2 linked regions of the Mus musculus genome follow. The protein of the gene in region 2 purifies or fractionates together with the protein of the main gene of each other region. This does not show direct contact. Links are inferred from orthologs where the notes say so. Each region holds a gene or a part of one and is shown on either strand. Other genes may lie near its edges.

Region 1 (4,271 bases), on a different chromosome or scaffold from region 2:
ACGGGCACAAAGGACATGACTGACTGCAGGCGGGGGGGATTGGCAGAATTGGGGGAGCAAGGACATCAGAGTGGATATGAAGTTCATCTGGCTAGCTGAGGTCACTGCCCCAGACGTCTCGCTGGTCCCTGCCTCACCTGGTGTCAGGACAGCACACATTTGCAGCTCATGCAGCCAGGACCACTCTCATCGGGTGGGTTCAGTTTCCGCAATTTATGCTGCCGAATCTCACGGACTAGTGTATAGAAGGCATCCTCCACGCCCTGGGGACAGAGGGACTAGATCAGAGAGGACTCTGGGGAGAAAAGGGGTGCTGTCTGGGTAAGAAACTCCCTGCCTAGATCAGGTCACACCCCAACGCTGGAGGCTCCCTTCCTCAGCTGCAAAACCAACACAAATAGGGAGCTGGGCCCTGGCCATCCAAAAGGCACAGGCCACTCTCCTGAAATAGGGTTCACTCCTGAGTATCACTCAAAGTCAGAGCCACTTAACTCAGGACTCTCCCAGACCCCCAGTACGTCTCAAGTTGAACAGCCTAACAACACTGAAGGGCTTAAAACTAGCCAGTATCCACAGGACACTGGGGACAAGAAGAACTAAGGCCCCTGGGTCGCCGCTCCGGCCTGGCTCAGGGCAGCTCTCTCCAGGGACCCCATCCTGCCCTAGAGCTATGTGAACTCAGAACTGCAGGGCATAAGCCCAGACCCTGGCCCTTGCCTCCCTCACAGCCCTGCGGTCTGGGAGACTTACAGCTTGAGGGCCGCTGGGTCACATGGGTCCCGGGGGAGGGGGGATCCCAGAGGGTCCCGGAGCTGGAGCCAGAGCGGCTGCCCTGTGTTGAGGGAGAGCGGCAATGAGCTCTGCTCCCTGGCTGGGGTGGGGTGCGGTAAATCCTTGACTAGCTGTGGAGAGGGAAACAGGCTCACCTGCCGGGTCTTGGCTGATGTTTCAATGTAGGGGATGCCATAGCTGCGAGCAAGGTCCTGGGCCTGCCGAGACTCAACAGTGCGAGCAGCCAGGTCACACTTGTTGCCCACCAGCACCATTGGCACATCATCTGAATCTTTCACCCGCTTGATCTGCTCCCTGGAGGGGGATGGGGTGGATATGAGCCAGCTAGCAGGCTGCAGGCATGACTGTGTCCAGGACATTCAAAAAAAGACATAAAGCCTCAGTGTGCACACGGAACCTTCCTCACGTGTGCCACGGGCTCACGGGCTAGCCATAGGTGGCTCACCTGTACTGATGGATGTCCTCGAAGGACTTGGTGTTGTTGATGGCAAATACACAGAGGAAGCCCTCCCCTGTGCGCATGTACTGGTCCCGCATGGCACTATACTCTTCTTGACCTGCTGTGTCTAAGATGTCCAGTAGACATGTCTCCCCATCAATGACCACCTGTTTCCGGTAGGAGTCCTGCAAAACAACACGGCTTAGTGGGGGTGGGGGGTGGGGGTGGGGTCTCACCTCTCCTCAGACCAGAGAATCCACAGAACCAGCCTACACCCTTGCACCTCTCATACCCTGATGGATCATACCCCATAACACCTACAAGACCTGGGCTGTTTGGTCATTTACCCATGACCACTGCCACAGCCCACCTCTGGCAGGTAGGCAGAGCTCACCTCTATAGTGGGATCATACTCGTCCACAAAGTGGTTCTGGATCAGCTGGATGGTCAGGGCACTCTTTCCCACGCCTCCAGCGCCCACCACCACAAGCTTGTATTCTGTCATAGCTTCTACAGCGGCTGCCAATCCAGGAGCTCCTGCCCCACCTGCCAATGAGAAGCACACTTAGCCAAGGCCCTTGCCACTTGAGACGGCTAATAGATGCCTGACCCAAGGGCCCTCTCCAGCATTGAGCAGGCAGGCCTGCCAGTGGCCCAGTTGATCACCTGTGGCACCTTCAGCTTGAAAAGGGAGGACCCCACCCCCACCCCCCAACCTCCTCAAACAGCACTTAATGGCTGTGTGAGGAAGCAGGGAGAGGCCCCCAAGGCAGGGCTGACAGCTGAGAGCTTCTCCCAACCACGCACCCAAATTAGAAGTCGCTAGGTAGGCAGAAACCCTCAACTGGAGGCGCCTGAGGGCTGAGGCCACCCCCCAAAAAACAGGTCCTGCCACGGCGGCCTCGGCGTGCCCAGGCAGGCCAATGCCAGCCTACAACCGGCTCTGGCCCGCCGGCATGTGGGTGCAACCTACAACTATTTACTGAGCGCCTACTGCATGCCAGGCGCGGTCCCGGCAGCGGGGGGAGGGTGGCTGGAGAAGGACCCTGCCCTCCACTAAGACAAACCTTCCACAAGGGGCCAGGGAGCTTTCACAGAGGGGGGGAAAAACGGCTGAGGGTGTGGGAAGCAGGTGACTACAGGAACGCGAGGGATGGCTGGGAGCAGAAGGCCCTGGTTGGGGCCCAACGCGGGTGTCCTTGTGGCCCCGAGGCCCGAGCGTGATGGCCGCGGGGCGCAGAGTCTCCGGAGGCCCGGGCGGCGCCTCGCTGGGAGGACGGCCACAGGCAGAGCGAGTCCGGCCGCAGAGGCGGGCAGCCGGACGCTAGGCACGCTGCCGGGCCGAGAGGAGCAAGGAAGCACCGATCACCTGCGCCCCGCGCCCCACCCCGTGCCCGCACTCACCGCTTGCTGGCGCGACTGCCCCCGGGGCCGGGGCCGGGGCCGGGGCAGGGCGGGGGCGCGGACGGGCGCCGGCTGGGCCCGCGCATGAGCTCCGTCCGCGGCGGGTGCGGCTCGGGCTGCGGGCGCCGGGAGCGGACGGCGGGGACTTGGCCGGGCCCGCGCTCGCCCCGCCCCGCTCCGCCCCACGCCCGTCCGTCAACTCGAGGCGGCCCGTGATTGGTCGAACTCCTCCGCACCGCGACCTGTTGTGGTTGGCTGAGCAACCCATCCGTCAGAAGCCGAAGCTGGGCGGGGCTTCCTGGAGCCGCGGGGAAGGCAGTGCCGGAACTTGGGTCCTGCACTCAACAGTGATGTCTAGTGCCTAGGTGCAGAAGAGACAGACCGAGACCGTGCTTACGAGCCCGGGATTTCTCCGGAGAGAAACTGGTGCACGCTCGGGTTGCGTTGAGGACCTACTACAGAGCCTCCACCCTGCAGCCTCACCAAAGGCCCAAAGGCCCACGAGTGGAAAGGTCATCCCGACCGGGTATTGGTGTCGGGGACAGTCAGCACCGCGGACGCGGAATAACAGAGGAAGACAGAGTTCGCCGGAACCCCTAGCTGCCTGTTCTCGTAGGTCGAGGTGGAGCAAAGGCTCCATCCTGGGGCAGCGTCGGCCCATCACACCGCGCTCTTCGTGTTTTGGAGAAGACCCCCCTACCGCTCTCAAACTCGAGGTCCCAACACTGCAGAAGCTCATACTGCGTCCATTTGAAGAACGACCCCGAAAGTCAGAAAAGTTGGTATTGGGGCGAAATGAAGTGTTCCACCCACTCAAGCAAGTAGGGTACATCTGTGTCAGACGCAAATGACATGTTTTCAACACTTTTTGAAATTTCAAAGAAACGAATAAGCACGTCCTCAGAAAAACTCAGGCTTTTACTCAGGTCGTGCAGGCCTGGGGTTGCACGCTCACCCCGGTCGCCGCCCGGGGTGCAAGCTCGGCTTGTTCTATTCATCTAGCAGGCAGATAACCGAGAGCTGGCCAGAAGCCTCTCACGGACGGCTCTCTGAACCACCGTGAGTGCCTTCACTGCGTTCAGCCGTCCGGCTTGTCTCTTACTCTAGGGAGCATTTCCACCGGATCTGCCGCGTGTCCCGGCAACCGTTGCTAGGGGGCGGGGCTCATCTTACCGAAGCCCCGGATGCCCGCGGCTCACGAATATTTGGGTATTCAAATGAGCCCCGCCCCCGTTGCCATGGCGCCAGGCCTGCAACCCCATCGCGGTGGTAAAAATAATAATTAAAAAAAAAAGCCCTCACCTGAGAGAGCGACCGCCGCGGTGGAGGGGCCTAGTGCTGCGCCCCAAGTCTTGGGCACTCTGGCCCACCCCTCAGGTGAGAGCCTAGCACCTCCTCTCCATGTCCTTTGTGCTAGGGGGATCCTGGGCGACCCACGTCTGTGGGACAAGACATACAGGACAGAGTAAGCAATAAGTCATGAAGTGCAGTGGAAGGGGATCACTCTAACTAGAGAAATGTATCTGGGAACGGCAGGAAGTACAGGAGTTAGGGGTCGGCCAAACCTGCATGGAGGCCACGGAGGAGGACTAAGAAGAAAGGATATACTTAATGTTCTGAACAGAGTTCTTACCTT
Region 2 (3,500 bases):
ACCCAGAAAACAAAAAACAAAAACAACCTACCAACATACATATACAACACACATGCATGACATACACCCACAACATATACATTAGCACACACATACACATCACACATGCACACTCATAAGTAACATATACACAGACACAGATATTAGGACACACATGACACACAGACACCACATACACACATAATGCATACAAATCGCAGGCTGGCGAGATGGCTCAGCAGGTAAGAGCACTTATTGCTCTTCTGAAGGTCCTGAGTTCAAATCCCAGCAACCACATGGTGGCTCACAACCATCTGTACAACAACAGTGTACTCATATACATAAAATAAATAAATAATCTTAAAAAAAAACATACACAACATACAATACACAGACACCACACACACATAACACATATACAACACACAGACAGCACATATACATATAATACACACACAAAACAGACACATAACAAATAGACACAGACCCACATACCACATACAACACAGACACGTAACACAAATATACACACCCACACAACACACATACAATTTCTTTAAAAAAAAAAAAATCCCATGTATAGCCATGAGGCGTGGTGGTGCCTCTTGGAAGAAGGTAGAGAACAATCCTGGAAGGCCCTCAGTGTCAATCTCAGGCCTCCACACACATGCGCCCACACACACATGCCCCCAAACATGCCCCCACAGACATATGTACCCACACACATGCAAACTCAAGCACATACTATTACACACACACCACACATTTTTTAAAAAAGTGTTTTAACAATGTTACCAAAATTATTCTTATTACTTAAAAGATATAAAAAAAGGGAGGCAGAGGAATATGGATTTCTGTGAGTTCAAGGCCAGCCTGGTCGACACAGCCAAAGTTACCTACTGAGACCTTGTCTCAGAGAGAGAGAGAGAGACAGAGAGAGAGAGAGACAGAGAGAGAGAGACAGAGACAGAGACAGAGAGAGGAAATGAAAGGAAGGAAAGAAGAAAAGAAAGGGCTGGAGAGATGGCTCAGCAGTTAAGAGCACTGACTGTTCTTCCAGAGGTCCTGAGTTCAAATCCCAGCAACCACATGGTGGCTCACAACCTTCTGTAATGGGATCTGACGCCCTCTTCTGGTGTGTCTCAAGACAGCGACAGTGTACTCACATACATGAAGTAAATAAATACATTAAAAAGAAAGAAAGGAAGGAAGGAAGGAAGGAAGGAAGGAAGGAAGAAAGGAAGAAAGAAAGAAAGAAAGAAAGAAAGAAAGAAAGAAAGAGAGAGAGAAAGAAAAGCAATCTGTCCTAATGTCCATGAAAGGTATTATTTACAAATTACACTAAATACCTTCAAAATCCACATCTCCAACCAATTTGGGCTTTGCAGTGACAGGATCTTGAACTCTGTTTATTCCCACATCGATGACCGCTGCTCCTTCCTTGATCATGTCAGCTGTGATCAGATTTGGAATGCCTAGTGACAGAGAGCAATGATCAGCGGGACACTGAAGGCAACATACTTCATCTCTGGATTTTCATTTATTGTAGATTTATTGATTTTACGTATAGAAATGTTTTGCCTGAATATATATGCACCTTGTGCCTGCAGGGGGCATTATAGTCATAGGACATTAAAGACATGGTACCTGGAGGAGCACCAGTAACTAAGGAACCATTTAAACGCACATGGAAATACTCTGCGGGTAGGAGTACCCTCCTCCTCCAGTCTGCAATGGGGCGACAGGTACAAGAATCCCAACTGCAACTCCAGCTCAGAGACTCACTGGGAGGGGATGGCAGCTGGGCGGGTGAGAGTTCAGACAACGCATATGTGTACATCTACATATAAGTCTAGAGATGCACTGTAGAGCTCTTACCAGCGGCAGATATTACAATGTCTGCAAGGATCGTGTGCTTCTTCAGCTGCTCTTTGGGAGTGTATCGATGAGATATTGTGACTGTGGCATCACCTGAGAGGCAAAAACAGATGCCTTGAGTCCCAAATCCAGGCTGGGATGGAGGTAGGTTTCAGCTGCTCACAGCACTGCAGAAACCCAACACCTTTGGAAAATTATGGACTTGCATTGTCTCTTAGAGCCAATACTCAGGACAGAGAAAAGGGCCGGGTGTGTGTGTGTGTGTGTGTGTGTGTGTGTGTGTGGTATGTGTGTGTGAACATGCTTATCAAACATTCCTGCCAGCCTGAGTCTGACCCCGGAACTCACACATAGTAATAACTGAAATGAAAATTTAAACACAATTACCACTTGGTGTAGTGTCTGGCGCTGCTCTCAGCTGGACCTCCTTGGGGTCACTTATAATCACATTTAATCTATTTCCTATGTCATGGACTTTAAAGAGTTTTACCTTTTCTAAGAAAACATCACTAGAATTACTCAGGTGAGTTTTCTCAATAATGCCAAAAGGTACCTGGAAATACAGCTTTCCTTTGGTCCCAGAAACTCATTATTACTGTAATTCCGTGCAATTCTTGACTTAGCTTTCCCTTAGATGAATTAACAGACCATGACATGACTCGCCGGTCTGGTCAGTTAACTCCTCTGCAGGAGCCACTGTTTCTTTTCCTCCCAAATGACACAGAGTAGGACACCAACTCTGAGTAAGAAAGCTCGTTGGGACTGTCTAAGCCATATAAGCCATAACTGACAATTTCTAATTGCCTACAAGCAAGCTTTATTCAAAACTCGGATCTATCAGAGACTAGTTCCAGGATCCTTGGTGGCATTGAGTGCAGGTTATTTCTGAGTGTTCACAGGGGTCACAGGATGGCTTTTGAGAGTTATCACAGGAAAGGGAACTTCCTCACCCCCGGGCCGTTCGTGAGCTCCATCTGTGTGCAGCAACATTGCAATCGGCATTCCAACGTTTTTTGACCTGCCAGCCACTACCACATTCTTCCCTAAGGTTGGAATGCCTGCAAAGATAAATAACAATAAATACACACACACACACACTCCAAATGACACAGCACAGATTCAACTTTGAATAAGTACAATCAAAGCCACATCTGAAAATGTCTTGTTGCCTACCACCACGCTTTACACAGAACTTTAATTTGTTCATAACACGAATCATTCAGATATATAGATTTGCATTAAAAGATCTGCTCTGTCTTAGAATGTGTATCAGAGGAAGGCAGATGACCTGGGTCACAAATCCAATCGTTAAACTATCAGCCAGTTATGGCTGGGACTGCCTCAGCAATGGGGCGACAGGCGTTCTGGAAACTGCAAAATGTCCCATGGATCCTTGCTGTCACCGTTGTTAAACCTACCATTTCCTTCTCCAAGGCCTGTAGAATGGAGCAGAGCTGTCCTATGCAACAGCTAGGTGAGCCCCGCTGGGTGGGATCCCACACTTTGCGGTTTTGGGGGTTTCTGCCAGTTCTAAGTATAGGTTGACTATCCCTTACCTGAAGTACGTGAGACCAGGAACGTCCCCATACTGAGACGGTTGAGATTTGGGAATATCTGCATAGCTTCTATTTGGTTAACATTTC

The links. Proteins that work in one complex are often made in the same cells at the same time.
Region 1: the proteins of Mthfd2 (region 2) and Hras purify together in Homo sapiens (co-immunoprecipitation; 4 studies listed by BioGRID and IntAct, with this or other methods). This does not show direct contact. The link is inferred for Mus musculus from reciprocal best matches to the Homo sapiens genes MTHFD2 and HRAS.

The regions. Positions count from the first base shown.
Region 1 is NC_000073.6:141,191,205-141,195,475, forward strand, and holds the start of Hras (GTPase HRas), read right to left. Parts: upstream 2,801-4,271; 5' UTR 2,636-2,800; intron 2,605-2,635; exon of another isoform or gene 2,299-2,604; intron 1,778-2,298; 5' UTR 1,737-1,777; coding exon 1,626-1,736; intron 1,417-1,625; coding exon 1,238-1,416; intron 1,137-1,237; exon of another isoform or gene 1,087-1,136; coding exon 927-1,086; intron 833-926; coding exon of another isoform or gene 751-832; intron 264-750; coding exon 144-263; 3' UTR 1-143. UniProt on the Homo sapiens protein: Involved in the activation of Ras protein signal transduction. Ras proteins bind GDP/GTP and possess intrinsic GTPase activity.
Region 2 is NC_000072.6:83,307,605-83,311,104, forward strand, and holds part of Mthfd2 (bifunctional methylenetetrahydrofolate dehydrogenase/cyclohydrolase, mitochondrial precursor), read right to left. Parts: intron 2,916-3,500; coding exon 2,808-2,915; intron 1,951-2,807; coding exon 1,858-1,950; intron 1,455-1,857; coding exon 1,329-1,454; intron 1-1,328. UniProt on the Homo sapiens protein: Although its dehydrogenase activity is NAD-specific, it can also utilize NADP at a reduced efficiency.